2 linked regions of the Caenorhabditis elegans genome follow. The protein of the gene in region 1 interacts with the protein of each later gene in a pairwise test. Each region holds a gene or a part of one and is shown on either strand. Other genes may lie near its edges. The genes, in order: sws-1 and rip-1.

Region 1 (15,685 bases):
TTAATTAGTGACTTAGTTAGTAATTAAATAACTAAGTAAGTATTTAATTACTAACCCTGTTAGTGTTAATTAGTAACAAAGTGAGTATTTAATCAGTAACGTAGTTATTTAATTTGTAACTAAGGAAGTATTAAATTGCTACTAAGTGAGTATTTAATTACTAACTAAGTGGGTATTTAATTAGTAACAGAGTGAGTTTTTAACTACTAATTTTCTTATTTAATCATCATCTAAATAAGTACTTAATTAGTAACTTAGTAATTAAATTACTAACTACGTAAGTATGTAGTTAGTAACTTAGTTATTTAATTACCTAAATAAGTATTAATAAGTATTAAGTATTAAGTAAGTTCATTAAAACACGCAACACTCAATATTTAGTAGTATTTGCAATCTAAGAGCAGCGCCCGAAATCAATAATCCATATTTTCAGGACCCCCACCAATTCCACCTGTCCGCCCACAACAACAACAACGTGGACACAACAGAAGTGCAAGTCTTGACTTGAAATTGATTGCATTGAATAAGACAAAAGCCTCGGCGGAATCCCAGCTACCACCAACTACCCTATCACTTTGGTCATCACATTCCGATCCGACAGCTCAATCGATTAGTACTACAACGACTACGACTACTTTTGCGTCTTTTCCTGGTATGAGACTGAAAAATTGGGCAGAAATTCGAAAAAAATTTTAAAAAAACTGGAATTTTTCAAAAAATATATTGCTTTCAATTTTCGAGAAAAAATCAAAATATTCCCAATTTCCGCAAATTTTCAGCCACCCCGGACAGTATTCCACCGCCGATTCCACAAAGAATCACACCGTCACCTCTACCGGTAAGTTAAGGGAAAGCTTTTAGTTGTAGTTTGTAGTCTTAGCAGCGCCCAAAGTTTGAAATTATTCGTTTTAACGAATTTTTAAGAAAAACTTTTCAAAATTGCGATAAAATCGAAAATTAGTGTAGTTTTTATTTTCTGAACAGGTTGAAAATCACAAAAATATGATTTTTAAACAATTTTTGGCTATTTTTTTGTGCGCTGCTATTTTTTTGGGCGCTGCTAATTTTTGGGCGCTGCTATTTTTTTGGGCGCTGCTAATTTCTTGGGCGCTGCTAATTTCTTGGGCGCTGCTAATTTCTTGGGCGGGCTGCTAAAAATTTACTTGTAGTTTGTAGTTTTAGCAGCGCCAAAATTCAAAAATACTCATTTTTAACCATTTTTCTTCAAATTTTTCAAATTTTTCACTGAAAAATCTCCAAAAATTCACAATATTTTTGCAGAGAGTCATCGAAGAGGAAAAACGAATTACCACAACAGATTCATCAACACAAACTACAGAATTACTCTATTCTGAGGAAGATGTGAAGAGCTTTTTCTCGAAAATCGGCCATCAAATCGACGATTTAATTGGAGAAGAGATTCAGGCAACTGATGGGCAAGGAATTGAACGATGGAAGGAACGTTGTACAGCTTTGAGGACTCAAAATTCGGAATTAGAAGCCGAAAGAGCACGGTTGGCTCAAGTACGGATTCAATTGGAAATACGAATTCAGGAATTTGAAGAGAGATCCAAAACTGCGTGCTCTTCTTCTACACTTTAATGATATCCCCGGTGGAGGAAAAATGGATGGGAAATTCGAATTTTTGAGGAAAAATAGGAAAAAAATAATTTTTTTCGGCTTGAAAAACTAGGAAATAACACATTTTATTTCGAATTTTCCGGAAAAAATTTTTTTTTTGGAAAAAACTCAATTTTTAGCTGGAAAAATAGAATTTTTAAAGATTTATTACGTTTGGTTAGGAAAATAACAAAAAAATTCGAAATGTATCAATTTCTATGGAAAATTATTTTTTCTGAAAATTTATTGATTTTTCTGAAAATTTATTGATTTTTCTGAAAATTTATCGATTTTTCTGAAAATTTATTGATTTTTCTGAAAATTTATCGATTTTTCTGAAAATTTATCGATTTCTATGGAAAATTTATTGATTTTTCTGGTTTTTCGCATTAAAAAACATGAAATTTGCCCATTTTAGAGCAAATTTTCAAAAATTTCTGAGAAAAAGGTATTTCCCGAAATTAAATTTAACTTCTAAAAAAGTTTTTAATTATTTTCTATCAAAAATTCGAATTTCCCACCAATTTCTCCCCCAGATTCCCCGCAAAAAACTAAAAAATCTGCATATTTCTTCATAATTTCTGTGATATGTCATATATATATTTCATTTTTACCTATGTTGTAATTTTTTAAAATAAGCATCAATTTTTCTATTTTCTGTGATAATTTAATCTATTACACTATCTTCTTTTTTTTTTTTGAAAAAAAAAATCATAAAGTATGTATTGATTTTTACACACATTAAAAATAACTATTTTTTAAAATTGGAAAATATATATATATAAATTTTTCCAAAAAAAAATGAAATAACATGAAAGATGGGAACTATCTAAAAAATTCGGACAAAAAAATTATTACAGATCCGGCTAAAAATTTGGAAAAAATTCCAAATTTTGACAGAATTTGAGGGATCTATTATAAAAACTGCTAGAATAACAAAAAAAAAACAAAAAATTTTCGAGAAAAAAAATTATTACACATTCGTGACGAATGTATAATAATCTTAGCAGAACTAAAAAAAAACAGTAAATTATTGTTGAATTCCGAGTAATTTCTTCATCTGACGACCGTATTCCCGCGTTTTTTCGACAGTTTCCTCGCTATTTCTATAGGCTTTCCACATTTCTCCGAATTCGTCAATCGATTTTTGATCTCCACATCCGGCGGCGCTGGGGCTTAATCCAGGCGTCAACTTGGCTTTTTCCAGTAAATCGATGAGTTTGGTTTTGGTGTTGGAGCCATCGAATTCAACTTTCAGAGCGTCGGTGCGGTTCTGGAAAAAAACATTGGAAATTTGGCTGAAAAATCGATAAATTTCCGGAAAAATCAATAAATTTCCAGAAAAATCAATAAATTTTTACAAAAAGCACTGAATTTTCAATAAAAATCAATAAATTTCCAGAAAAATCGATAAATTTTTACAAAAATCACTGAATTTTCAATAAAAATCAATAAATTTCCAGAAAAATCAATAAATTTCCAGAAAAATCGATAAATTTTTAGAAAAATCAATAAATTTCCAGAAAAATCAATAAATTTTTACAAAAAGCACTGAATTTTCAATAAAAATCAATAAATTTCCAGAAAAATCGATAAATTTTTAGAAAAATCAATAAATTTCCAGAAAAATCAATAAATAAATTCTTACAAAAATCACTGAATTTTCAATAAAAATCAATAAATTTCCAGTAAAATCGATAAATTTTTACAAAAAGCACTGAATTTTCAGAAAAATCGATAAATTTCCAGAAAAATCGATAAATTTTTAGAAAAATCGATACGTTTTCAGAAAAATCGATAAATTTCCAGAAAAATCGATAAATTCCTAGAAAAATCGATAATTTCTAGAAAAATCAATAAATTTTTAGAAAAATCGATAAATTTTCAGAAAAATCGATAAATTTTTAGAAAAATCACTGAATTTTCAATAAAAATCAATAAATTTACAGAAAAATCGATAAATTTTTAGAAAAATCACTGAATTTTCAATAAAAATCAATAAATTTCCAGAAAAATCGATAAATTTTTAGAAAAATCGATAAATTTCCGGAAAAATCAATAAATTTCCGGAAAAATCAATAAATTTTCAGAAAAATTGATAAATTTTTAGAAAAATCACTGTATTTTCAATAAAAATCAATAAATTTACAGAAAAATCGATAAATTTTCAGAAAAATCAATAAATTTCACAAAAATCGATAAAGTTCGGGAAAAACCAAAAAAAAAACCGGGAAATAACTATCAGAGCTCAATCTTCGGGTATTTTCTGATAAAGATCTCTAGAAAACGTTCAAATTTTCGAAAAAATAACTTTTAAAAAAATTGTTTTCTTAAAATCCCTGGAAAACGTTATATAAACGCGTTTTTACACTCATGTTTCATGTCGAAAATCGATTTTTTTTAAACGAAATTCACCCAATTTTTCTGAATTTTTAGATTTTCAGCTCTATATTTCTAGTATTGGTAGAATTTCGCCGCCACAATTCTACCTTCAATTCATCCCATTTCTCGACTTTTTGAGCTTCATGATATAACACAGTTAGTAAATAGTGTGCATAATCGAGATTCTGTTGTCTCGTATGACATCTATCAGTGATAATTGTCATTTTTCCCGTTTTTTCGTCATATCGATTTGCGGCCAGTCGAATCAGTTTTTCCATTTGATTTTCCGACAATTTAAGCTCTGCCACGTGGATTTTCATAGTTACGACACGGCTTCTAATGTCACGGATTGAAGTTCCCTGATGAATGTATGTAGAATATTCTATGGAAATTGGAAGATGTTGACACGTGGCAGATGGATTGGAGAGGAGTTCCGGTGGGAATGGAGTACAGAATTCTGAAAAAATATAGAGAAATTTCTATATAGTACAGGTGTTTTTTGTGTTTATTTTTAGAATTTATTCCGAGAAATATTAATTTCCACGCGGAAAAAATATTGTAAACTTAAATTTTTGATGAGAAACGCTGAAAATTGCAGACTTTTCTAATTAGCAAAAGCAGCGCCTAAAAAAAATTAGCAGCGCCCAAAATTGAATTAGCAGCGCCCAAAAAATTAGCAGCGCCTGAAAATTAGCAGCGCCTAAAAATTAGCAGCGCCCAAAAAATTAGCAGCGCCCAAAAAATTAGCAGCGCCCAAAAAATTAGCAGCGCCCAAAAAATTAGCAGCGCCCAAAAAATTAGCAGCGCCTAAAAATTAGCAGCGCCCAAAAAATTAGCAGCGCCCAAAAAATTAGCAGCGCCTAAAAATTAGCAGCGCCCAAAAAATTAGCAGCGCCCAAAAAATTAGCAGCGCCCAAAAAATTAGCAGCGCCTAAAAATTAGCAGCGCCCAAAAAATTAGCAGCGCCCAAAAAATTAGCAGCGCCCAAAAAATTAGCAGCGCCCAAAAAATTAGCAGCGCCTAAAAATTAGCAGCGCCCAAAAAATTAGCAGCGCCCAAAAAATTAGCAGCGCCTAAAAATTAGCAGCGCCCAAAAAATTAGCAGCGCCCAAAAAATTAGCAGCGCCCAAAAAATTAGCAGCGCCCAAAAATTAGCAGCGCCCAAAAATTAGCAGCGCCCAAAAAATTAGCAGCGCCCAAAAATTAGCAGCGCCCAAAAAATTAGCAGCGCCTAAAAATTAGCAGCGACCAAAAAATTAGCAGCGACCAAAAAATTAGTAGCGACCAATAATTAGCAGCGACCAAAAATTAGCAGCGACCAAAAATTAGCAGCGACCAAAAAATTAGCAGCGCCCAAAAATTAGCAGCGACCAAAAAATTAGCAGCGACCAAAAAATTAGCAGCGACCAAAAAATTAGCAGCGCCCAAAAAATTAGCAGCGACCAAAAAATTAGCAGCGACCAAAAATTAGCAGCGCCTGAAAATTAGCAGCGACCAAAAAATTAGCAGCGACCAAAAATTAGCAGCGACCAAAAATTAGCAGCGACCAAAAAATTAGCAGCGCCCAAAAATTAGCAGCGACCAAAAAATTAGCAGCGACCAAAAATTAGCAGCGACCAAAAATTAGCAGCGACCAAAAAATTAGCAGCGACCAAAAAATTAGCAGCGCCTGAAAATTAGCAGCGCCCAAAAATTAGCAGCGCCCAAAAATTAGCAGCGCCCAAAAATTAGCAGCGCCCAAAACTTGTAGTTTGTAGTCTAAGCAGCGCCCAAAAAAAATTAGCATCGATTTCCACGTAGATTTTTGAGAAAAATATGTGAAAATTGGCATTTTCAAGTCAAATTTTCGGTAAAATATGTGAATTTCAGCAAAATTTCCATTTTTCAAGCCAATTTCACTGTTTTTTGTCAATTTTTCTATGAAACTGATGAAAATTAAGTGTTTTTAATAATGCGAAATTTCAGTTTACTTTTGATAGCTTGACAGTGTTGTTGAATAGCCGGTGGTGTTAAATGTAAGAAATTGGGAATTTTAACCAATTCCAAATTTCCTTCCTTCTTAAACGGTGCTCGCTTCTCAACATTTGGCCGTGTGCCCATTCGAACTGGTAACGGAACTACAGACGATGCAAATGTTCGTGCAGCTGGCCATACATCACACCATTTCTGTGCTTCTGGATCCATTTCTTCACTTCTCGGCGGTCTTTTTGTTAGGCGGTCCATTAAATCGAACCGGCTTCGAGTTTTGTATTCGGTACGTCCAGTGGCTTGTTCCAGTTGAGTTTGACCGCGAAGTTTTCGTTTTGGCATTACATAGAGCTCACGGAAGTCTTCACCCTGAAAATTTGGGGGATTTTGGTGCAAAATTGAAGAAAATCGACAGTTTTTGAGGATATCTACGTGGATTTTTCCACAAAAATTGCCCAGAAAATTGCGAAAACCCGGTAAAATTTGCAGTTTCTGAGAGTTTTTATCAGTAATTTGTAAAAATTCCAGAAAAATAGCTGAAAAATGGGGAAAATCGACAGTTTTTTGAGATTTCCACGTGGATTTTCGAACTTTTTTCTGAAATTTTCGAAAAATTGTGAAAATCCGGTGAAATTTGCAGTTTCTGGGTGTTTTTTTTTGAGTAATTTTCGAGAAAATTATGAATTTTAGTGAAATTTAGCTTTTTTCGGGTAAAATTGCTCCCAAAATGACAAAAATTGAGTTTTGGAGTAAAATTCGCTGAAAAATCAATTTTTCGAGCCGTTTTTCGATTTCTAAATGTCTTTTTCCAGCTATTTCTTCATTAAAATCCTCCATACATGCTCATCCTTCACCGCAATCGATCCACCGGCGACGATTTGCTTGGCTTTTCCAAAATCCTGACCTCCGACGGCGTTTCGCAGCTTTTCAGCGAGACTCGATCGATTTCGAGTGCTCACGTGTGTCAGGCGGTGCATTTTTACCTGAAAACTGCAAAAAAATTGCAAAAATCTGAAAGAAAATCGCGAAAAATCGAAGAAAATTGAGCGAAAATTAAAAAAAAAATAAAAACCCGTTGTCGGAGAGGAGTACACCGGCGGTGGCCTAGGAAACTCTGAACTAGTCCCCAGGCTCATTTTGAGCGGGAATTTGAAGATGGATGTTTTCGAGCTGACAAAAAAGGTAAAAACCATTGAATTTTTCCAAAATTCTAGTCATTTTCAGACACTTCTCGCTGTAATTTCCGAATCCAGCAGCTCAGATGACTACTTAGAAGCCCTGGCCGAGATCGAAGGACTCGTAAAACACGAGGCAGCAGCCACAGTTCGCAAAACCCCGATTTTCAGCCAAAAAACTTCAAAGTTTCAGAGTTTCCAGCTAATGGAACGTGGAAAAGTACGAGAATTGGCAGTTCCAAAGCCAGAATTCTATAATAAACGTCGAAAATTTGAAGATTTCCAGGAGAAAACAGTTTTCGACTGGAAAAGCGAGTTTAACCTGAAAAATGCGAAGAAAGTCGAGAGATGGACGGTGGAAGAGAAGGAAAAACGGGAGAAACAGCGATGTTTTATTGAAGTATATTATTTTTTATTAAAAAAATGTTTAAAAAACGATTATTTTCCAGGAAAAAGAGAAGAATTGACTTAAAAATAGGAAAATCTTGAATTTTTGAGTTAAAAACTACCTTTTTCCCACTAAAAACTTCAATTTTTGATTTAAAAATCGATATTTTCGGTTTTCAGAGCAGCGCGCTTTGTAGTTTGTAGTCTAAGCAGCGCCCAAAACTTGTAGTTTGTAGTTTAGCAGCGCCCAAAAAATTAGCAGCGCCCAAAAATTAGCAGCGCCCAAAAATTAGCAGCGCCCAAAAATTAGCAGCGCCCAAAAAATTAGCAGCGCCCAAAAAATTAGCAGCGCCCAAAAATTAGCAGCGCCCAAAAATTAGCAGCGCCCAAAAATTAGCAGCGCCCAAAAAATTAGCAGCGCCCAAAAATTAGCAGCGCCCAAAAATTTAGCAGCGCCCAAAAATTAAGCAGCGCCCAAAAAATTAGCAGCGCCCAAAAATTTAGCAGCGCTCAAAAAATTAGCAGCGCCCAAAAAATTAGCAGCGCCCAAAAATTAGCAGCGCCCAAAAAATAAGCAGCGCCCAAAAATTAGCAGCGCCCAAAAATTTAGCAGCGCCCAAAAATTAAGCAGCGCCCAAAAAATTAGCAGCGCCCAAAAATTAGCAGCGCTCAAAAATTAAGCAGCGCCCAAAAAATTAGCAGCGCCCAAAAATTAGCAGCGCCCAAAAAATTAGCAGCGCTCAAAAAATTAGCAGCGCCCAAAAAATTAGCAGCGCTCAAAAAATTAGCAGCGCCCAAAAAATTAGCAGCGCCCAAAAAATTAGCAGCGCTCAAAAAATTAGCAGCGCCCAAAAAATTAGCAGCGCCCAAAAAATTAGCAGCGCCCAAAACTTGTAGTTTGTAGTCTTAGCAGCGCAAAAATTCAAAATAACCTCATTTTTATTTATTTTTTTTTGCTAATTTCGTTGAATTTCAGCGAAAATTTCGTAAATTCGTTGTAATTTATCAAGTTTTCGTTAAAAATCACTAAAATTTTGTAGTCTTTGTAGTCTGAGCAGCGCCCAAATTCAAAATTTCTCCACTTCTCGCTAATTTTTTCGTTGTTTCAGGTAGAACACTACAAAAAGAAGGAATACCTCAATTTTCTGTACCCTGGCGTCCATTATTGCACCTGCCCATATTTCCAGTCAACCGTGCTTCAAAAGCAAACTAATTGGATTTGTGTTCACATTTTGGCATACTATTTCGCCAAAAATTTCGGAAAAATCGAACGGATCGAGTGTAAATCCGAAATAGTTGGACTTGTGAAGAAAATTTTTATAAGATCGATTTTTTTGGAGGAGAAAAAATGATTTTTTTTAAATGGTTTTTTTTGTTGTTATTTATATATATATTATTCATAAAGCTTATATTCTCTAATTTAATTTGTTTAATCACAAAAAAAGCCTTTTCCAACTCCAGGCACCTCTAGCCAGGCTGAAACTTATTTTGTCAGTGACACTTTAAAAAGACAAAAGAAACTGATAAGAAGTACTATTACTTGGAAGGGGGAAAAGTGCACAGAGAACAAAGAAAAATGGTTTAGAACTTGATTTTATATTTAAATTTTTTTTTGGAAAATTTGCAAAAAAAAAAATTTCCGAAATTTTTTTGTTCCTAAGTTTTTATAATATATTCTTTCAAATTTTCTAGGTAACCTAATTTTACTTGAAAATGCAGATTTAGTTTTCGATTCCGGTCAATTTAAGTTTAATCATGACTAGGTTTTGATGATTTTAGGAAATTTTAGTATTTTGGGTCCCACCACGAAAATGCAAAAACTACTGTAACTCGGCTAATTTTTGTCGAAATTTGAAAAAAATTATATATTCAACCTCAGTACTTCTGGGCGGTTCGAATAAGTATAATCATGACTAGGTTTCGAAGATAACGTAATTTTTTTTTAATTTTGGGTCCCACCACGAAGCTTCTGTAGCTTGGCTATTTTCGTTGCGGGATTAATTTTTCTGTAGATTTTTTTTAGAATTTTAGTAACTTTTGATAACAATACATATTTATTGAGTACCTAACAAAAAATTTTTGGATAATATTTTTTCACAAAAAAAAACATTTATTTTTAGATTTTTCCAAAAAAATGATCTTCCAATTTTGGCACGATCAGCTAAACACCTGGCACCGCCCGAATGTTTACTTGAACTTGATGACTACTTGATAAAAATGACGAAAGACAGGGCGCTGATAAGGGAAATTTCTTTTTTTTTGGGGCAGCTGGCTCCAGGTCGCCGATTTTTGATTTTTTTTCTTGCGGGCATTTTTTTCTCCGATTCCGCAAGTCGAACTTTCCAACTGATTATTGATTTAAAAGTTTTTGCTTGTACGGACTTTTTAATTCGTTTATTTAAATTTCGACGAAAAATTCCAATTGTTTTTCAAAAAAAAAAAAACACTAAAAATTCTCTAGCTTTTGCGTTTCGATTTACGATAGTAAGAAATTCGAATTCAGCACGTCAATACGGTTTAAATAAGTATACTCATGACTAGGTTCTGAAAATTTTCAAAAATTTCCTAATTTGGGTCCCACCACGAAAACACAAAAACTACTATAACTTTGCCTATTTCTGTAACATCTTCAAGTCGCTTATATATTCAGAATCAAAACTTAAATGCGGTTCGAATGAGTATAATCGTGACTAGGCTTTGGAAATTTTCCCATTTTTAGGTCCCACCACGAAAACTACAGTAACCCAACATTTTCAGATGAAATTTTGTAGTCGACGACTGTTTTGGGCAACACTTTCACATGCTGTTTTCTCACAATACGGAGAAATTATGGCCGCCTGCTTGAATTTGATGAATGTTCCGATTAAGGGATTTTTTCGAGAAAGTTTACGCAAAAATTACGGCGTTGAGAGTGAGGAGACGTAAGATTTTGCCAATTTTAAGCTTAAATTCAAGTGTTTCATTAAATTTGGGTCAACTTAAATTTTTTCCGGAGGTTTCAACTCAATTTTGAAATTTCGCTGGGTACTGTAGGCCCAGGAGTACCCAAATACCGGATTTCACGACATTTTGCACAAAAATAGCGGGATAGCGAACTTCCTGTTGAAAATTCGAAAAATAATTGAACTGAAGTCTAGAAAATCATTAAATTTTCGTATAAAAGCTTAAAACTGAAAATTTAAAAAAAAACGAGAAAATATTGAATTTTCTATGAATTCCGTTGAAATTGTCGATTTTTCAATGCGAAATTCGAATTCCCCGTCACTTATTACCCCAAGCCTTCAGTTTTCAGGGTTGTAGTGCAAAATTCCGTCAGATCCGGTGTTTGGGAGTACTGTAGTCGGTGTTTGCGTACTTTCGAGGCTACAGTACTCTGAAAAATTTCAAAATTGAGCTAGAAGCCCAGGAAAAAATGTGTTAGACAGGAAATTTGATGAGAAACTCGAATTTCACATTGAAAATCCTAAATTTAGAGTCCAACAAAGTATCGAAAAATTAGAAAAATTCAAAAATCGCAAAATTTCACAATTTTCCAAAATTTTCTAGCAATTTTTAATGAAAAAGTCGAATTCCCTTTTACTTATTACTCCTAACCTTCAGTTTTTAGGGTTTCAGTGCAAAATTCCGTCAAATTTTTTTTTGGGTTACTGTAGTTGGGGTTTGCGTACTTCCGAAGCTACAGTACCCTCGAAAACTTAAAATTGTAAGAAGCTCGGGAAAAAAGCTAGTTATACTCAAAATTGAGTGGTGATTTTGATTTTTTTGCTAAAATTTTTGAATATTTGCTCTGAAAGTAGGAAAATTAGATTTATTGCTTCAATTTATAATTAAAAAAAAAAAAAAGTTTTCTAAAAATGATGTCACTCAAAACCAATGATCAAAATCAATAATTTCTCCATAATTATTATTGTTTACCGACCAGTGCAACAATGAAAAAATGCGGAAAAACATAATTTCTAAAAATATTCAAAAATCACATGGAATTGGTGCACTATGGTAGGTCTCTGATAAAAAATTTACGATTTTACGTTTAATTTTCTTATCAGTTGATAGTACAGAAATAAGTTCAATTAGGTTAGACTATGAACAATGTCTAAAAAAAATTGAAAAATTGGATTTTTACCAGAAAATTTTCAAAAAAAGAATTCTAAAAAATTTTTCAATGTTTTTTTTTGCTTAGAAATTTTATTAAAATCGAAATCCTCGTAAAAACTAAGTACTCGTGCTTTTTTCCCGCACTTCTAGCTCAATTCTGACATTTCCGGGGTACTGTACCCTCGGAAGAACGCAAACACCGACTACAGTACCCCAAAACACCGGATTTGACGAAATTTTGTACTAAAACTGCAAAAACTAAGGGTTAGGGGTAAAAAACGACGGGGAGTTCAAATTTCGCACGGAAAATTGCTAGAAAAAATTAGAAAACCATGAAAGTTTGTGATTTTTAAATTTTTCTTATTTTTCGGTATTTCGGACAAAACACCAGAACTTACAGAATTTTGCACTGAAACCGTAAAAACTAAAGGTTAGGGGTAAAAAGTTATGAGAAATTCAAATTTCGCGTTAAAGTTTACTTGAAAATGTTGGAAAATTGTAAAAGAATATTTGGGATTTTTGAATGTTTTTCGTTTTTCGGTATCTCGGACTCTAAATTGAGAATTTTAAATGTGAAATTCAGATTTTTCGTCAAATTTTAAATCTACGACATTTTTTCCTGCGCTTCTAGCTCAATTTTGACATTTCCGGGGTACTGTACCCTCGAAAGTACGCAAACACCGACTACAGTACCCCATAACACCAGATCTTACGGATTTTTGCACTGAACCCCTAAAAACGGGGATATAGGGGTAAAAAGGGACGGTGAATTCAAATTTTGTATTGAAAAATTGATAATTTTAACAGAATTAATCGAAAAATCAATATTTTTTTCTATTTCAGTTTCGAGACAATTTTCTCGGCATGCGCCTCATTTATGTTCATCGGTTTGGCGATTTCATTCGCGATTATGGGAAAATTAATGGATGGTCTTGGACGGAAAGAGACAATTTTACTAAGGTATGGTTTTTTTGGAATATGGAGAAAAAATTTTTGAAAAAAAAAATTTTCGCAAAATTTTTTTAATTTTAATTTTTTTAATATCCAATTTTTTTCCTATTTTCTAATTCAATGTTTCATTATTACAATAATGTTTATTCCAGAAGCTTCCTAGGAATAATTGGCTCAATGGCAATGCTCACCTCCCTCCTACTGAACAGATTCGAATTCTACGTGATTGGTCACCTAATTGCCGGAATGTTACAGGGTTTTCGTGTAGTTTTAATAATTTGGATAGCTGAATGTTCACCTGATTCGAAAAGAGGACTAACTTCACTTTTTATTAATTCCGGAGGGGTTATTATGACACTTTTGGTCACTCCGCTGTGTCTTCCCTCTATATGGGGAAATGAGGCCTTGTGGTGGGTTTTTGAATGATAATTTGAAATTTTAAGAGTATTGGGTCTTTATTTTAGTAAGCATATTGATTTTCAAAAAAAAACATTTTTTTTCAAATTTTCGAAAAAAAATTTTTTTAAATTTTTTCGTAAAATTGTTCTGCAATTTTTTATAAAAATTCAAATGCTCAATCAAATTCCACGTCTAAACTATTTTTCCCAAGCTTCAAGCTCAATTTTGAGCTTTCCGGGGTACTGTAGCCTCGAAAATACGCAAACACCGACTACAGTGCCCCAAAACACCGGATTTCACGGAATTTTGCACTAAAACTCTGAAAAATGGGGTAGAAGGGTGAAAAGTGACGGGAAATTCGAATTTCGTGTTGAAAATTACTTGGGAATGTTGGAAAAATATGAAAACTTGCGATTTTCGAATTTTTCGGTATTTCGGACTTTAACTTTAGAATTTATATTGTGAAATTTGAGTTTTTCATCAAATTTCACGTCTACCACATTTTTTTCTAAGTTTCTAGCTCGATTTTGACAATTACAGGGTACTGTAGCCTCGGAAGTACGCAAACACCGACTACAGTACTCCAAAACACTGGATTTTACGCAATTTTGCACTAAACCTCTGAAAACTGGGGCTCAAAGGTAAAAAGTGACGGGGAATTCAAATTTTGTATCAAAAAATCGTGAAAATTTTGAAAAGAGGGCAAAATTTGACTTTTTTTGAAAAAATCGTGAAAATTTTGAAAAGAGAGCAAAATTTGACTTTTTTTGAAAAAATCATCGAATTTCTAGAAAAAATCTTATTTTTCCAATTACTCATTTTTTCTACCCCGAATCACAATTTTTTCAAAGCTTAGTGTAAAATGTCGTCAAATTCAGTGTTTTGGGGAACTGTAGCCAGTGTTTGCGTACTTATGGGGCTACAGTAATCCGACTTTTACAATTTTTGACCAAAAAGCTCCAGAAAACTTTTTCAAGCAGAATTTTATCGGAAATTTAAAAATTCTGTTGAAATTTCATGTTTATAATTTTTGAAATGCCGAAAATTGACAAAAATAATAAAATTTGGAAAAACCTTAAATTTCAAGTTTTCTGAGAGCTTTAAACTAATTTCCAGTGTAAAATTCGAATTCCTTGTCATTTTTCACCCCGAAACCTCAGTTTTTAGGGTTTTAGTGCAAAATTCCGTAAGATCCGGTGTTTTGGGGTACTGTAGTCGGTGTTTGCGTATTTTCGAGGCTACAGTAACCCGGAAAACTCAAAATTGAGCTAGAATGTTGGGGAAAAATGGGTTAGCCGTGGAATTTGATGGAAAATTCGAATTTTTTAGAGAAATTTCAAAAAAAAAAGATTTATTAAAAAATTATAAAAATTTTTTTTTCGAAATTAAAAAAAATTTTAAACTTAAAATTTTAATATTCCAGGGTGTTCCTTCCATGTATAACTGCACTACTTGCAACAATTCACCTAATTTTAACAATATTCCTACCAAAATCGCCAAAACACCTATTCATCCAAAAAAGCGATGAAGCCGGTGCTCGGCGAGCTCTCCGGTTTTACTATGGCGATGAAAACGAAAAGAAAATCGATGAAGCAATAAAGGAAATGATACATGAGAATAAACAGGCAAAAAAGGAAACTTCTGGAATTTTGGACATTTTACAGAATAGAAATCATAGGTGAGGGCTAACTTTTTTCATAAATTCAAACTCTTGTAATTCACATAATTTTTGAGATTATTCGATAATTTTTTTTGTAGATTCTATAAAATTTAGTATATTTTGATATAAAGTTAAAGTATAAAATTTTCAAAAAAATTTTTTTTTTCTGAAAATTGGAATTTTTTACGAGACTTCATAACTTCAAACTTTTGTAATTGTACTAATTTTTGAGATTTTTTGATAATTTATTTTGTAGATTCTATAAAATTCAGTATATTTTGATATAAAGTTAAAGTATAAAATTTTCAAAAAAAAATTTTTTTCTGAAAATTGGAATTTTTTACGAGACTTCATAACTTCAAATTCGTGTAGTTTTACTAATTTTAGAGATTATTCGATAATTTTTTCTGTAGATTGATCAAAATTCAGTATATTTTGATATAAAGTTGAAGTATAAAATTTTCAAATAAAAAAATTTTTTTTTCTGAAAATTGGAATTTTTTACGAAACTTTATAACTATAACCTCCTGTAATTTTATTCATTTTTAAAATATTTTGATAATTTTTTTTGTAGATTCTATAAAATTCAGTATATTTTGATATACAACTAGAATATAAAAGTTTCAAAAAAACTTCTTTTTTTGAAAATTGAGGTTTTTTTCCGAAACTTCATAACTTAAAATTCGTGTAGTTTTACTAATTCTAGAGATTATTCGATAATTTTTTTTGTAGATTCTATAAAATTCAGTATATTTTGATATAAAGTTAAAATATAAAATTTTCAAAAAAAAATTTTTTTTCTGAAAATTTGATTTTTTTTCTGAAAATTTGATTTTTTTTACGAAACTTCATATCTTCAAATTCGTGTAGTTTTACTATTTTTTGAAACTTTTCGATAATTTTTTCTGTAGATTCTTCAAAATTCAGTATATTTTGATATAAAGTTGAAGTATAAAATTTTCAAAAAAAAAAATTTTTTTTCTGAAAATTTGAATTTTTTACGAAACTTCATAACTTCAAATTACTGTAATTTTTCTAATATTCGAGA
Region 2 (14,949 bases), on another chromosome or scaffold:
ATTTACCGAAGTCATTGATCAATCGATACGATATTAAAAGAAAATACAAAAAATAACAAAACAATAGAAAAAACGAAATAAAATTGAATATCGCTGTCACAATTAGAACGGAAATTCGTCCCTCAATTCCGGCAATTTTTCGGCAATTGCCGATTTGCAGATTTGCATCGTTTCTTTTTAGGGTCGCCCATACTTTACAAACTCTAGACTAGAGAAAAATTGAAAGAAGCGCGATTTTTTTTTTGAAAAATTGACACACTTTCAGGAACGATGCGAGTCACCAACTTACGCCTAATCTGGCATGCCGCCTCAATGCCTCGGATCAATATCACGATTGGGTGGAATGCGATCACCGGAGTACAGAGCAAACAGACTACTTCGGTGGGTTCTACTGTCGAATTCGCAACGAAAAATCGATGGCCTAGTTTTACTTTTCGCGGCCACCTATCAAAACTCATAATCTTTTTTTAACTTCCAAGAAAAAAGTTTCAGCTAGTCACAAGAAACCGTGGTATATCCAATGAAGCAATCTACGTACTTGCCAAAGTCTCGGCGACCACTACAAAATTTGAGTTCATCTTCACCACCACAAATCCTGCATCTCATTCGAAACTTTTCAATACGATCTCATCAATCAGCAGAGCCTACGAGACCACCAAAATGTACAGAGAGCTCAAAATGCGCGGGGTGTTTATTCGTGAGGACGGAACTCTGAAGATCCTTCCACAAGAGACGATCATCGAGAAGGTGAACGGTGTCTGGAATCTGTCGACGGAGACTGGAAGTCTCGGAGTCTTTGTGATCACGAATATTCGTGTCGTTTGGTACGCAGAGATGAACATCGGATACAATGTTTCGGTCCCCTACATTACTCTATATTCAGTCAGAGTTAGAGAGTCCAAGTTTGGAATGGCGCTGGTTCTTGAGACAACTACCAGCAGCGGAGAGTACGTGTTGGGATTCAGAGTTGATCCTGCTGAACGTCTACAAAATCTTCTGAAAACTGTACAATCACTTCATAAGGCGCATTTGTTGAAGCCAATCTTTGGAGTTTCGTATGTCAAGGAGATTGCCGAGGTATTTTTAAAATGAAAAACGTCACCGACTTTCCTAGCATTATGTTGTTTTAGTGCACCTTACTACATGATTCAATGAAGAATCATCTTCAGATTTTTCAAATAAAGGCTTTTTGGAACTCGTCCTATAGGCTATATAATTTATAGTTTCTACAATACGTAGGATCCTACCCTAAACTACAGTACCCTACTTACTTGAACTGCCGTGAGCGGAACTTTCCCTGAACTTTGGATGTTGCCTCAAAAACCACAATGCTCAATTTTTTCGACCCTTTTCAAAATTTCGCTCCCACACCTTATAAAAGTGATCACTCAGCAAAAGTTGACCTATGATTCAGCAAAATTAGAAAATTTTGCAACGTTCAAATAAAACCAAACATTTACAGAAAGTAGAGCCCCGCAAGGACGACGATGAAATCGACATCATAGACAACAACGAAGATGACGTAGAAATCGACGATAAAATCCGTCCCGACGCGTTTGCTTCATACTTTGACGGGGAGCACACCGCGACTGACGAGAAGCAGCTACCGGTGCTCAACCCCGAGTTGGGATTGGCGATTGAACCGATTCGTAACGGATTCACTCTTCATGATCTTTGGAATATTCATGTTGATGTATAACGTTTTTTTTTTTCTGAAGATGAATATATTTATTTGGAGAACTAACATTTTGTTATATCAAATTCAGTTGCCGTAATTTTTACGTGTACATATTTGTGAAATTCTAGGCCACACTCAGAGTAGATCAATTCCAGAATGTCAGAATCGTGCAATTCCCTAACGGTAGTTTTTACTGATTCCCCGAAAATCGATGATCACCTATTTGCCAAGGCAATCCGCTGGGCGGACCAGAATCCGGATGATACGATTTTCTGGGCGAGACGGAAAGCGTTGGAGAGGTTTGTCACGTGGTGTCAGGATGTCCCATGTAGGTTTGATCTACGAGAATCGCGGGAGCTTAGACGCAGACTTCTCAACTGAATTCGCATGGTTAAGAGTGTGATGACGTCACATTTTTAGGAAAAAATCCCGCATTTTTTGTAGATCAATCCGTAATGGGACAGCCTAATACCACGTGGTTCGTAACATATATGATAATATGTGGTCGCGAAATGGGGAAAAACTCGGCCACTTGATTTTTTAAATTATACAGAATTGATCTCCATAGCGGGTAGTGACTCAAAACTTGACTGAAACAATTCGTTTTTCGGTGATAGGGAAACTTCAAATTTCATTTTCAGAATCCCTGAAATCGACGTGGAGTTCTCGATGAAAGCTGGCGCTCTGCGAAGAATTCGCTTTGGTTACAGTTCCAAGAAGCTTCTGCAAGGATGTATCGACATAGCGCTCAAAGCAAGCATCGGCTCTGAAGTCGCAGCGATTTTCTGCTCAATGAGCATCCCGCAGGACTGCCCGGAACTCGGTTGCCTTCTCGCCGCACTCGCCAATTTTTGTAATGTAGATGACGGCCGCGCGGTCGTCGTGATTGATTTGAGAGATGATAATGATGATGAGGTAATGATTGTAGACTACAAACTATAAACTATAACTGATAATGGTTTTAGAAGCAGGAAGGAGTTGAGGAATCTGATCCATTTGAGAATGCGAATTTTCTGGAGGAAGAAATCGTGGAAAATCCAAAGGAATTGAGTAATGAGCCTCGCGAAACTCAAACTCAAGGTAAACAAAAAGTGGCCGGCCGAAATAAAAATTTTCAATCAAATTGAAACTATGTAAACCATGGCCTAACATTTTCGAATAGTGTGTTTAGTGTTTTTCCAATCGTAAATAAACTTCAATAAGTTTTATTCGATGTGTTTTGAATAAAACTTATTGAAAACTTACTGAAAATGCTAGGCCACCTCGCGTACTACCGTGGCCTAGGGTTTTTGACTCACTCCAGGAATCTGCTGTAATTTTTTTTATTCCCAGGAAAATACGTAATTTTGCAAATTTCCTGAAAACACTTGTGACACTGAACAACGCCGAGGTCTAAGAAATTACCAAATTCTTAGATCTGAAAAATTCTAGGCCACCACTCGTTCTATGGTGGCCTAGGATTCTCAGATTCAGCCTTGACCCATTTAAAATTACCAGATTCTTTTAAAGTGAGTTTTCTATATTTTCCAAATTCAGAAAATATATTCTGGAAAGTACCTTAAAACTTTAAAAAATTTTCAGAAGAATTCCTGGAAAAGCTCAAGCGAGTCGCATCAATCTACACAAAGAATGTGCTATTGTTTGATGGAAACGAAGAAAAATTTTCAAATTGTTTTTAGACTTTTATTAAGGTTTTTATTAAATGAATTTTCAAAATTTATTATTGATTTTTTCATTTAAATTAAATCACTCTTCCTCTTCCTCACGTCGCTCCTCTTGTTTCTGAAGCCATTTTCGCCTCAAAATCTTGACTTGAGTCTTTGAAAATGTTTGCCGCCGGGAACATGGATGAAGTGTGCATTGAGCATCACATGGATTTGGAGTATACGGAGCACAGCAACAATAACATTTTCCGCTTATACTGATGCAGCTTAGCGGTTTTAAGGACCATACTTGATCTCGAATTGTTGGTGGGACAATTGCACCAAGGAAATCCACGGCTGTAGTATGTCTGGAATTTAAAAAAAATTAATTTTAGGGGTTCAGTTTTTTCTCGTCCACCATTATAAAAATTGTCTTGACACACTTTTTTGGTATTTTTTTAATTGAACAATAGCGAAGTTTTTTACTTTAAAAAGAATACAACAATTTCAGCTAAATTCTCGACTATTAAAAAATCCATTTCAACCTAGGTATCTATATTTTCGAAATTTTAATTAGAAAGAAAGGAAAATTTAAAGATTTAAAGATCAAAAAAATTTCCAATGGCTTTTTTAAGATCTAAAAAGGCTAAATACGATAGTAAACAATTTTGGAAATATTTTTAACGCAGTCAAAAAATGGCAATTTGGCAATTTTGGAACTCGATCAAAAAATGGTATTTTTTCTACAACTCTCTAGTTTTAAAATTGTTTAAAAAATTTGTAAATAAACATTGTAGGGGTTCAAATCTGCGTGACTGGTCGAACGTTCTCAAAAAGTCAAATTTTTTGAAATTTTGGCACTTTACCTACTTTGCCAACTTTGCCCTTTTGTATGACTAAAATTTTTCGGAGTGTTTTATTAAGATAAACTCGAAAAAAGTTATAAATTTTATATAATTTTTTGAAAATTGTGAAACACCTCAGTTTTTGCCACTTTTTTGGAAGTCTTCGATAAAAAAGTGTTCCTTCGATTATATGGTTCACTTATACTCCAAATATTAATTTTCTCAAAAAGTGGAAAAAACTTAGTAGATGTCACTTTTTGACTGTCAATAAAAGTTATTCAAAAAACTTTGAAGTTTTTGCGATTTTTATATTTTCCCCCACTGGCCTGGCTACTCCACATTCAAAAAACCAAAAAACCAAAAAAATGAAAAGTTCACCTCGGTGGCCATACTCTACAAAGTCCAGTGTCCTCGTCAAATGCCTGTGGAGTCATTGCGCACGCCTGTTTCTCGGTTGGAAGATCACAAATCCGGTCGACAACACCGATTGAATTGCCTCTAAATATGAATTGTTTATTGTTGTGCGTGTTGCAATTGTCACCCTTACCCAGCTACATAATCACATCTGGGTGAACACGCGACTTGAACATTGCACATTCCGCATGCCGTCGCCGATTTGTTGAAGAGCTCCGCGTAGTCCATCACTTTCTGAACGATTGGGTTACCGATTCCTGTGATGAGGGACATGTAACGGTTTTGGTAGCATTGCTGGGGAAGCGTACGCCAGAATGATCGGTCTGCAGTGCTGAAAATGGAAGAGCAGTGGAAAACTAGGCCATTAAAATGTGTTGACATTGTGGGTGTTGATTTATGTACGAGGGAAGATTTTTAAATGAAAAAAAAACAATTTCCAACATCTTGGTTTCATTGATTATTTTTTACATGGACGGTTTAATTGCTATGATTTTCAAATTTCTTGAGCTTGACCGAGTTTTCTCTGCCCGCGACCCCGTGGTAAGCGTCGACCTATGTTAAAGATTCAGGTGATATTTTAATGATAAGGTCAAATGATAAGAAAAACGTGATATCAATATCTTTAAAGAAGAAAAGTTTTCAAAAATTGATTTTGGAAATTGAAAAAAAAATTTTGTAGCAATTTTGAAAAATAGGAATTTACAAACAAAACGGGACCGTCATAGAGAAAATTCGGCCACCGATTTTTCAGCTGTTACGTCATGATTGCCGCCTTATGTAATAGATTTTGTTGATAGTTTAGAGTTTCTTAAATATACGGGAAAAAAAGCTTTGGACAAGCGAATTTTTTAAAACTGCATGGGAGCCCACGACCCTCCCCACCAAAAATGTTGGTTTTTCTCCTAAAAATCACCTGAAACAAGGTCCATATTCACTCCAATCATGACAATTTGCTGTTTTTCCCGCCTGAGATACCGACGAGAACGCCGAAGCCAAGAAAGCGTCAGCAGTCGGTGGTCCAGTTGCAAGTGAAGCCAAAACTGAGAATACTAGAAAACGAGGGACCATATTTTTGGAAAGTTTATAAGGATTATATCAGACTGAGATGATTGTGGATTTGTGTAGTTGATAAGCGAGAAGAAAAGATAAGGGAAATTCGCGCCTGAATCGGGTGTCGGAATCGAAAGTGTGGAGGCGGCGTAGCCTCCTCGGGACACTGTGGGGAGGGGGAGAAACCGGAATCCCGGGAAGTGATAGATGAAAAATAAAAAAAAGAGAAATGAAAAAGTTACCATTTATTAGGTTGCAATACAATACAACACACTTTTTACAAACAAACAAATAAAAAATTATCGATATTTTTTTTGAAATTTTTTTTTTCGAAAAAAAAGTTTTCTTTCAAAAAATTAAACATGTTCAAAAAGAATAAGCATTGCTCATATTACGATCAGCAATCTCCTCTTCGAGCATCCGAATGCGACGTTCGTGTTGCCGAAGCACAGCTTTCATTTTCATCAGATCTTCCAAAAGCTCATCCATGTTCTGAGGCACGTGCTGGAAATTTTTTATTTAAATTAATTTTTAAATTATACAAGAATTTTCACTATAACACCTTTGTAAATTTTGAAACAAAAAAGGGATTTTGGAGTTGCCTGGCTTTCTGGGGCCTTTAGAAAAGTTAGGCCACCCGTTTTTGGATAAGAAAACTTTTTGAATAATTAATTTTTCGTTAGAAAATAAAAAGGGCAAAATTGGATAAAAATTAAATTCTCAAAATCTAGGTCACGATAGTATTACTGGTGGCCTAGAAAATAAAAAATTTGAATTTTTAATATGTCGGTCCAATTTTTGGAAGAAAAACGAATATTATTATAAAACACAAAAACAATAACAACATATTAGAATGTACATTTTAGTAGTGGGAAAATCCTAGGCTACGGTGGGGCTTTTCATGGCCTAGAATTCGATTTCTAGGCCGTGGCGTTTAAAGATTTCAGTTGATGTTAATGAATTTGGAAAATTGGTTTTTCGAATTTTATTTCTATTTTTGAAAAACATATTTTATAGTTATTTTTTGAAAATTAGAAAAAAACGTTGCTTGACATTTTTTTAATAAAATTAAAGTAAAACACTAAACTGAAATTTTTCAAAGCTTGTTTTAATTAAAATTTAATTTGTAAGTTCCCAATTCTTATTGCTGGAAACTCGGCCACGGCCCACAAAAATTGTTAATTTTCTTACTAATTGGTTAAAAGTCAACGTGTTTTTGTTTTCTAGAAAAACAACATTTTAGTTGGTAAGCACAGTAAAAAACACGTGCCCCTACGTCAGACGCAGCTGATACACTGCCACGTGGCGATGCAGAAGCTCGGGAAGAAGATGGAGGTGGAGCTAGAGTGTTGTCCTCATCGGCGGTTCTTGACTGATCTCTCTTGATCCTTTCCAACTCGGCGGCGGCTCTTCTCTGACCGGCAGTTTGAGCACCGCCTCCGGGCTCATCACGGGCGGCACGGGATTTCAGTTGAACCTGGAAAAATGGAAAAGGTGAAAGTGATAGGATGGTGCTTTTTTGGAGAAGTGGGGATCATTAGCATTAGTTTTTTTTTAAATAATTTAGTTCAAAAGAAGCGATCGGCAAAATCCCTAGGCCACGAGAGCCCAGTTGGTGGCCTAGAACTTTTGAAAATTGATTTTGGCAAGGTTTTCAATCAAAATTGAGTAATGAATGTGCAGTTTTTGTTAGTTGAAAATCCTAGGCCGCAAATTGAATACACATGAGCTAGAAAAATTCACATTGAGAAATTTGGATTTCCTAGGCCACGTGCGAGCACTTGGTGGCCTAGAAGTTTCAAAAATGAATTTCAATACAATTTGTGACTTAAGTTTATTAGATTTAGCAGTTATAATCAGCTGAAAATCAAAGGCCCCCACATTCTCGGGCGTGGCAAAGGTTTTTTAAATGAAAATTAGGCCACGCCCTTGCAAGTGGCGGGCTAAGTTTTTTTCAGCCACGCTTGATAATATGGTGGAATAGAATTTTCCGGCGACCTCGTTTTTGATAACATATTTGAAAATATTTCCAGCGGGATAGAAAGGGATTATTGGGGGATAAAAATTCTTGACCGTCTTAAAAAAGTCATGAAAGAAGTTTTCCTCGTCAGTGGACTAGAATTAAATTTTTAGGCCATGATTCAATTCCAAGGCTAGAACAGCAAATTTTTAAAACCAAATTTTAAATTAATTCAAGTTCTAAATTTTACAAAAAAAAAAGCTCACCGCCTGTTTCGGCTTCATTGGATCAACCTTGCTCTCCTCCTTTGGGGGAATTTCAGTTCGAGAAGCTCTTGATGAAGCTGGACGACTTGGCGGTGCTTCTCTCATTGTAACAATTCCCATATCATCGTCAACAACTGGACGAGGTCTCGGGGATGCAGATGGACGTGGTGATGGTTGTTGAGATGACGGTGGACGTTCAGAGTAGGATTGGGTGGGTACTGATTCGGCGCTGGAATTTTAAAAAATTTGATATTAAAGAAAAAGAATTTTCAATAAAAAGTTATGTCAAAAAATTAGAAATTATAATAAAAATTAATTTTTATTTTCAACTCTCCAGCATTTTTAATTTCTGAAAACAAAATTCTTTAGAAAACCGAAAATTTAGATTAATGGCATTGTTTTTTGTTGGCATTTTCATATTTTTTAAAATGTTTTCTGAAAGGTTTTTTATGTGATATTTATTTCAGATTTTTGCCACCATTTCAGTTTTTTGTTGGAGATTCTAAGCCATATAGTTTCAAGTTTGGCAGGAAATAAGTTTTTTATTTATTTAAATACTGTAAAACACAATAGAAGACTTTTTTTTGGTGGTTTGGTGTTCGAGTAGGAATTATTAAACATTCTTGAATTTTTTTAAAAAGAAACATTTTAGAAAAAATATGTTGGTTTAATTTTCAAAACGAGTTTGTTTTCAATATTCTTAAAAGTAAAATTTATTCGCTTTACAATTTCCAAAACAAATTTAATCGAACCTAATTTTCTCTAAAAATTTAAAGCGTTTTCACTTTTTCAAAAACTCACGCAGTCGGAGCCAAAGTGCTCAAAATATTGGCTTTCTTGGCTACCTGGACCTTTGGTTTGGCGGCAGCTGCAGCAGCGGCTGCATTTACTGGCTGACGGTTTGGTGCAGCATTTTTACCTGAAAAATACACTGGACAATTAAAAAATAAAGAAATTTCCAGCCAACCTTCCATGAACTCTTCTGCGGTAAGGGCTGGGATGGTGGATCTGGTATCCGGATAGAGATCGTGCTGGAATATGGGTTCAGTTAAAAAATTGTAGGAAATTTTTCAAAATAATTTTTCGAGCCAAAATTGTTAACCTACAACTTTTCAGAACAAAACCTTATTTCAAAACTCCGCATACCTGGAAAAGATCCGATTTGCGCGGTACAAAGAACTGCAAAATATCCACAACTCCCTTCGTAGTCAACTTATAAATCCGATTAATTTCATTCTCCTCCGACGACATTCCTCTCTTCGACTGGAATCCAACAGCTCTTTGCGGCTCATTTGTAGTGTAAGTATTAATATAATGTACGTACGGAGCATCGTTGTTAACCTCATAGTACCGAATAGCACAATCTCCCTTTCCAACAAGGTACACCAAACCGGAATCTTCATCGTAAAACGGGAAGACGACTCCATTCGAGGTATCCAGCTCCTCTTCGACAATTGGGGTTGACAGATCTTCCGGGGCTCGGAGAGCATACAATCTTTCGGATCTTTTGGTGAAGCCCGTGCTCAAAATGAGCCCATCTTTCACAAAAATGGCTCGCTGCGGCTTGACACCCTCATGACCCATTCCCTCGTGAACAACCTCTCCGGTGTGTGAGTCAAGAATACGGATCTTCTTGTCCTTGCAGGTAGTCACAAATTGACTACCGTCAAAGTTGAAGTTGATGCTCCAGATTTGATCGGGGTGCCCGGAGATTTCGAGGAGTGCCTCTCCGGTTCCAACGTTCCACATAAACATTACGTTTTCTCCGCCTGGAAAGTAAAATTACAGTAAATTCATTTTTACTTGGGTTACTGTAGGGATATTCTAGATTCTGGTAGTACAGTAATCATATAGTACTCTAACAAAATGTCCAAACATAGATCGGCTGGTCTCTAATAAGCCTCAAAAATTTCCACTGAAAAACTACCTGAAGTTGGCTAAACTTGATAACAATGTACCTATAATTGGGTGAGAAGTTGCGGCAAAATTGCCGAGAAGTACGTCTACACCAATATTACAGTAACCCTAGATAGCCTAACTTATCGACAGTAACCCAAAGAAATCCCAAAACATCATCAGTAATCTTACAGTATCCATAATTTTAATTTTCACTAACCAGCAGTAAGAAGAACATTATTAGCGACCGGATGCCACGCAATGGTGTTAACTCTCTTCTGATGACCAGTCAACTCGACAGCTGGTTCTGAGAGATTTCTGTTGAGCCCACGATCCGGAATCACCCACACTTTACATGTGGTGTCTTCGGAGCACGATGCAATAACATTGTCGTTGAACGGGCTCCATGCGACTTCGAGGCACGGAGCCTTGTGAGCATCCACGAATGGATAGTCCTTGTCGACGCGACCGATCTGGAAATATTTGGCATTTTTTGGATAGCAGGAACGTGAAATGTCGGCTGCTTCAATTTAAGTTTCCAGAGAAATTGAAAACTTTAGTAACCAAGGAAGATTTCAAAATGGTGTTTTTGCAGATACACAGCTATAGGTGTAGGTTTTTCACAAAATTTCAGTTAACTTTTTTTTTAAAAATTATTGATCTTCTAAAGGTTTATTCAATAATTTTTTAAAAGTTTTTGTTTTCCGACCCCTTAGGTAACAGGTGTTGTTGAGTTGCTGATCATCATGCTCGGAAAAAAATAATTAAAAAATTAAAAATCCGGAAATAACATTTGAAAACACTTGTCAGGTGGGGTTTTTGTGTTTTATTTGTATAAAAAACTTACCTTATTCACTGGAATGACCATAAATGGTCCACCAGCCCCTCTGTTGATGAAGGCGATGAATTTCGGATTGACATCGCAGAATAATGAATCCCAAGTGATTTCTGTGACCTGAAAAGGTTGAATTCAAGTTTTTAAGGCGCCTTTAAATAGCGGGTACTGTATTTTCATATATAAATTTTTTAAACAATAAAAAACTATTTATTAATTAGTTTTCTATACTTTTAAAAATCTATTCAAATTTTTGGAAAAAAAAAGGTGTTTTCTTTTTTTAAACTTTTCTAAGAATATGAATTGGTATTTCAGAATAATTTTTAACGCAAAAGAAAATATCGGTGGCCGAGTTTTCTCTTTCACGGCCACGTGACAAATTCAATTTTTGGCATTAAATAACTCTCTAAGTTTAGAAAATAACTGAATTAACTGCGCATATATTTAAAGTTAAATAAAAAAATATGTTTCGCAGAATTTTTTTTGTTGAAAAAGGTATTTGATTTAGTGTTGGAGTTCTATGAAATTTTGAAAAAAATTAAAACATTTAAATTTCTTATTTTTCTGCGTTCTTAAATGTGCATTTCCACAAAAATCGAATCCAGGGGATTGTAAAAAATTTTTTTCAGATAAATTTAAAGGATGGAAGAAGAAAAAACTCGGCCACCGATTTTTTTGCGGCTACGTAGTAAAATCCGCTTTTCACAGTTTTCTAGGAGGTTTTTCTCTATAATATAGGAGTTTCATGAAACTAGTGATTTACCCTAATGTCAGACATGCAGCTCTCATGCTTGACGGGCTTACAGAACACGTGCCGGAATTTACTCTGCCGGACGATTTGCGCCATTTTCGATCTGAAAAAGGCTGAAGAATTGCAACTTTTCTAGTCAAAAGCGAAAAACGGCGAGAGTGTGTGAGAGCGGAGTAAATATGCAAGGATTTGCGGGTGCCTCCTGCTGCTCCTGTTGCTCTCCCGCAGGCAGCCCGGAGCCCCTGCAACTCGTCGGCTCCCGTGCTCTCTCCCATGTTACACTTTGTTGGCTCCCGCCATCGCCCCGTCTTTCGTTGAGATGCCTGCGTACTCTTGTTTAGCTAAAATCCTATGTGTCTCGGTGGCTATGGCAAATCCACAATTGATAACGTCGGGGGAGGGAATCGGAACACCCTTGACAAGTGTGCACAAAAAATGTGTGACGAAATGCGCGAAGTAATATAATAAAACTTTAAAAACTTTACTAAACAAAGTTCAAATTATTTATTTTTCTATCTCCTATTTTCTATTTCCCAAGTAACTCTTTGTTTTCTGCGGGGGCTCCGTGCCTCGGAGCTCGAATTTTCACAGTGCAAGCGCGCTCTACCGCAAAACAGGAGAGCGCGCGAGATTCAACTCGACTCACCCATTTTCTCATCAATTTCCTTCCTTTTTCCCGTCATAAAATGGCATACGAGTTCGATTTGGAAGATTTTAACGATAATCTTGAGCCATTTGGCTTTAATTGTCCCGCAAAAGATCATTTTATTGAAAAATGTAAGTTTTTATTCAATAATTATCGGAAAAAACATCAAAATATTGAATTTTTGCAGTAGAAGGACTATGCAAAACGTTCCGGAAGAGCGGTGAGGATATTGTCGATGATGTCGTTTCGGTGATGAGCAATCTTGGGCAAAAGTCCGTTGACTCTGGAATTTTGGCGAAATTAGAGGAGAATCTGGAGGCTCAGGCCCAGAAAACTGTGCACACGCCGAGATCTGTGAAAAAACCGGCGTAAGTAAAGGAAATCGCAGATTTTTGAGTGAAAAATTACATTTATCATCGAATTTTGCATTGGAACTCAAATTTATAGCAAAAATCTATTTAAAATGAGAAAAATCGACAGTTAAATGTTTTTTTTTTAAATTTTTTTCACGAAAATTCTCAAAAAAAAAAACAGTAAAAATAAAATTTATTTAGTGTTTTTTCTGTTGATTTTTGAAGACATTTTCGTTTTGTTATTAAAAAATTCGAAATCTAAAAATGTTTAAATTAATTTTTTCAGTTTTTTTTTTCAAAAAGTTTTTCGCAAACGCGCTTCACGGCCCAGTGAGAACGCTCCGCCCTCAACGGTTGGGTCTCGCTAGGTATTGGCGGCAAAACTGTAAATTCAAAAAACCTAACGAGACCCAACATTTTGCCGTAGAGCGCACTTGCATTTTGATAAAAATTTAATTTTTCTGCGCCCTAATAATATATCAATTTTCAAGTAAAGTCTCGAAAAAAACCGCATTAAATTTCAGACGCGGCCGTGTTCCGCTCGCAGAAAAAAGTGGATTCATCCTAAGTGGCGACCCCGATGACATTGAAAAACCGTCACATCACCTCACAAATTCAGCGATTGCAAAGCTTGAAGGACATTTTCTCGACTTTTCACCATTTCCCGGTTCCCCGGCTAATGAGAAATTCCTGAAAAGAGCCGATCCATCACATGTTGTCACAACTATTCGAGGGAAGAAGTATCAGGATAAAGGATTGAAAGGATCGACAAAAAGCGATGATACTATAAGAATTATCTCGAAAACGCCGAGTACATTGTATGGTGGAGATAAATCTTCTATGGTTATTGAAGGTAGAATTTTTTATTTAGAAAATGTTTTTCTCAAAAATTCTAATTACAGTACTCTTTAAAAGTGCACATCTTTTTGCATTTAACGAAAATTTTCGTGTCGAGACTCGTTACCGTATTTTTGGCACCAAATTTCGCTTATGAGTAATATTCAAGTTTTCACAAAAAAAACAAATTTTCAGCAAAAGCACAACGAATGGCAGATATCGCTCACCGTATCCAAAAATCATTCGAAGAAATTGTCGATTGGGGAAATCCATCGATACCGTCAGTTGATGTTGTATATACATATGGACAAGTGATTCATGATGAGACAAAGGATAATGAGAAATTTGGAGAGCATTCTGTTGCTCTTATGATTAGTGAGAATTCGTTTTTATGGGATTTTTTAGTTAAAAATTGAATTTTAGCCATGAAAAATTGTTAAAAATTTCAATTTCCAAAAGAATTTCTTGATTTTAAACTTCAAACTAATTAGGATTTCTGTTAGAAAAAAATCTATGAAATCTCAAAAATTGGAAATTTTTAATTGAAAAAACATATATCGAGTTTTTTAAAATAATTTTTTTTACAAAAAAAAAACGAAAGTTTCACAAATTTTGTTTTTATCAATTTTTTAAAATAATTTTTATAAGCTGAAATTTAAAATTTTCGAAATTTCAATGAAAAAGGCAAAATCAACTAATGAAAATTTTTAAGTTTTTTGAAAATCTTTTTAAAAAAATCGAAATTCAAAAACTTGAAAAAAATTTACGAAAAAAGCGAGAAAACTGTAAAATATGTCAAAAAAATGTGTATTCAAAAAATAGAGAAACCCCGGAACTTATGAAAAATTGAAAAGTTTCCGAAAAAAAAGTGTTTTTGGAATCGATTTCAAAAAAAAATTGAATATTTTTTTTGGAAAATAAAAAATGATTATAATCTAAAAAATTCCAGACGACGAAGACGGCACAATGATCCGAATGGATTTTAGTAAAATGACAGAAGATATAACTCTCTTCCCCGGACAAATTATCGCTGTTCGTGGGACCAATGAGACTGGCGAGGAGCTTCAAGTTGACAAGATCTTCCAGCCAGCGGCACTTCCAGTGAATCCCGTTGAAACTGACACTACGAGTAAGGTTTTAGCACAATGTTAACAAAAGTTTTTTATGGCCGAACTTTCAAGCAATTACTAAAAAATCAATTTTTCCGACATATCGGAAAACCGAAAATTTTAAGATTTTTTCGATTTTCCTGAAAATCTCGAACTTTTCCAGCCTGGCCGAGAAAATGTTGGTGGCTTAGTTTTCTATTTTACGCGGCCACGAACATCAATAAAAACCAAAATTTTCAGAAGAAATCTGGTTTGCGTGTGGTCCGTACACTGCGACGGACAATTGTGGGTATGAGCATCTCTGTGAGCTTTTGGACAAAGTCGTTGCCGAGAAGCCCGATATTTTGATGCTGGCTGGGCCATTTGTGGATAAGAAGAACACGTTTTTGAATAAGCCCACTTTTAATATTACCTATGACAATTTGTTGGAGGATTTGCTCTTGAAAGTTAAGGAGACGCTTGTCGGGTTGGTTTTTGAACAATTGAATTTCCTTGAAAATTGCAAAAAAATGATAATTTTCAAATTTCAGCACAAAAACGCAAGTGATCATTCAACCGAACGCATCCCGTGATCTTTGTGTTCCTCCGGTCTTCCCAAGTGCTCCGTTCCAACAGAACCGAAAACTCGATAAAATCAAGAAAGAGCTGATCTTCGTCGCCGATCCA

The links.
Region 2: the proteins of sws-1 (region 1) and rip-1 interact in a two-hybrid assay, tested with the Caenorhabditis elegans proteins (2 studies listed by BioGRID).

What each region holds. Positions count from the first base shown.
Region 1 is NC_003283.11:18,972,581-18,988,265, reverse strand, and holds sws-1 (SWIM-type domain-containing protein), read left to right. Parts: upstream 1-6,786; 5' UTR 6,787-6,809; coding exon of another isoform or gene 6,810-6,947; 5' UTR 6,948-7,125; coding exon 7,126-7,152; intron 7,153-7,194; coding exon 7,195-7,293; exon of another isoform or gene 7,294-7,338; coding exon 7,339-7,545; intron 7,546-8,641; coding exon 8,642-8,884; 3' UTR 8,885-8,946; downstream 8,947-15,685. Other genes in the region: reps-1 (REPS (RalBP1-associated Eps domain-containing protein) homolog), read left to right, coding at 434-652, 780-838, 1,282-1,602; mrps-35 (Small ribosomal subunit protein mS35 mitochondrial conserved domain-containing protein), read right to left, coding at 2,651-2,893, 4,110-4,459, 5,973-6,339, 6,810-6,947; Y39B6A.41 (Major facilitator superfamily (MFS) profile domain-containing protein), read left to right, coding at 10,290-10,453, 12,471-12,587, 12,731-12,988, 14,401-14,655.
Region 2 is NC_003281.10:10,245,622-10,260,570, reverse strand, and holds rip-1 (RFS-1 Interacting Partner), read left to right. Parts: upstream 1-1,829; 5' UTR 1,830-1,834; coding exon 1,835-1,977; intron 1,978-2,319; coding exon 2,320-2,593; intron 2,594-2,643; coding exon 2,644-2,758; intron 2,759-3,259; coding exon 3,260-3,357; 3' UTR 3,358-3,398; downstream 3,399-14,949. Other genes in the region: BBSome complex member bbs-5, read left to right, coding at 266-381, 493-1,077, 1,463-1,699; R01H10.4 (uncharacterized protein), read right to left, coding at 3,425-3,689, 4,545-4,664, 4,714-4,911, 5,494-5,648; Coronin-like protein cor-1, read right to left, coding at 5,997-6,134, 6,901-7,107, 7,857-8,085, 8,658-8,775, 8,824-8,887, 9,003-9,625, 9,973-10,225, 10,600-10,707 and 1 more; div-1 (DNA polymerase alpha subunit B), read left to right, coding at 12,025-12,115, 12,172-12,352, 12,862-13,190, 13,370-13,549, 14,124-14,303, 14,524-14,749, 14,814-14,949.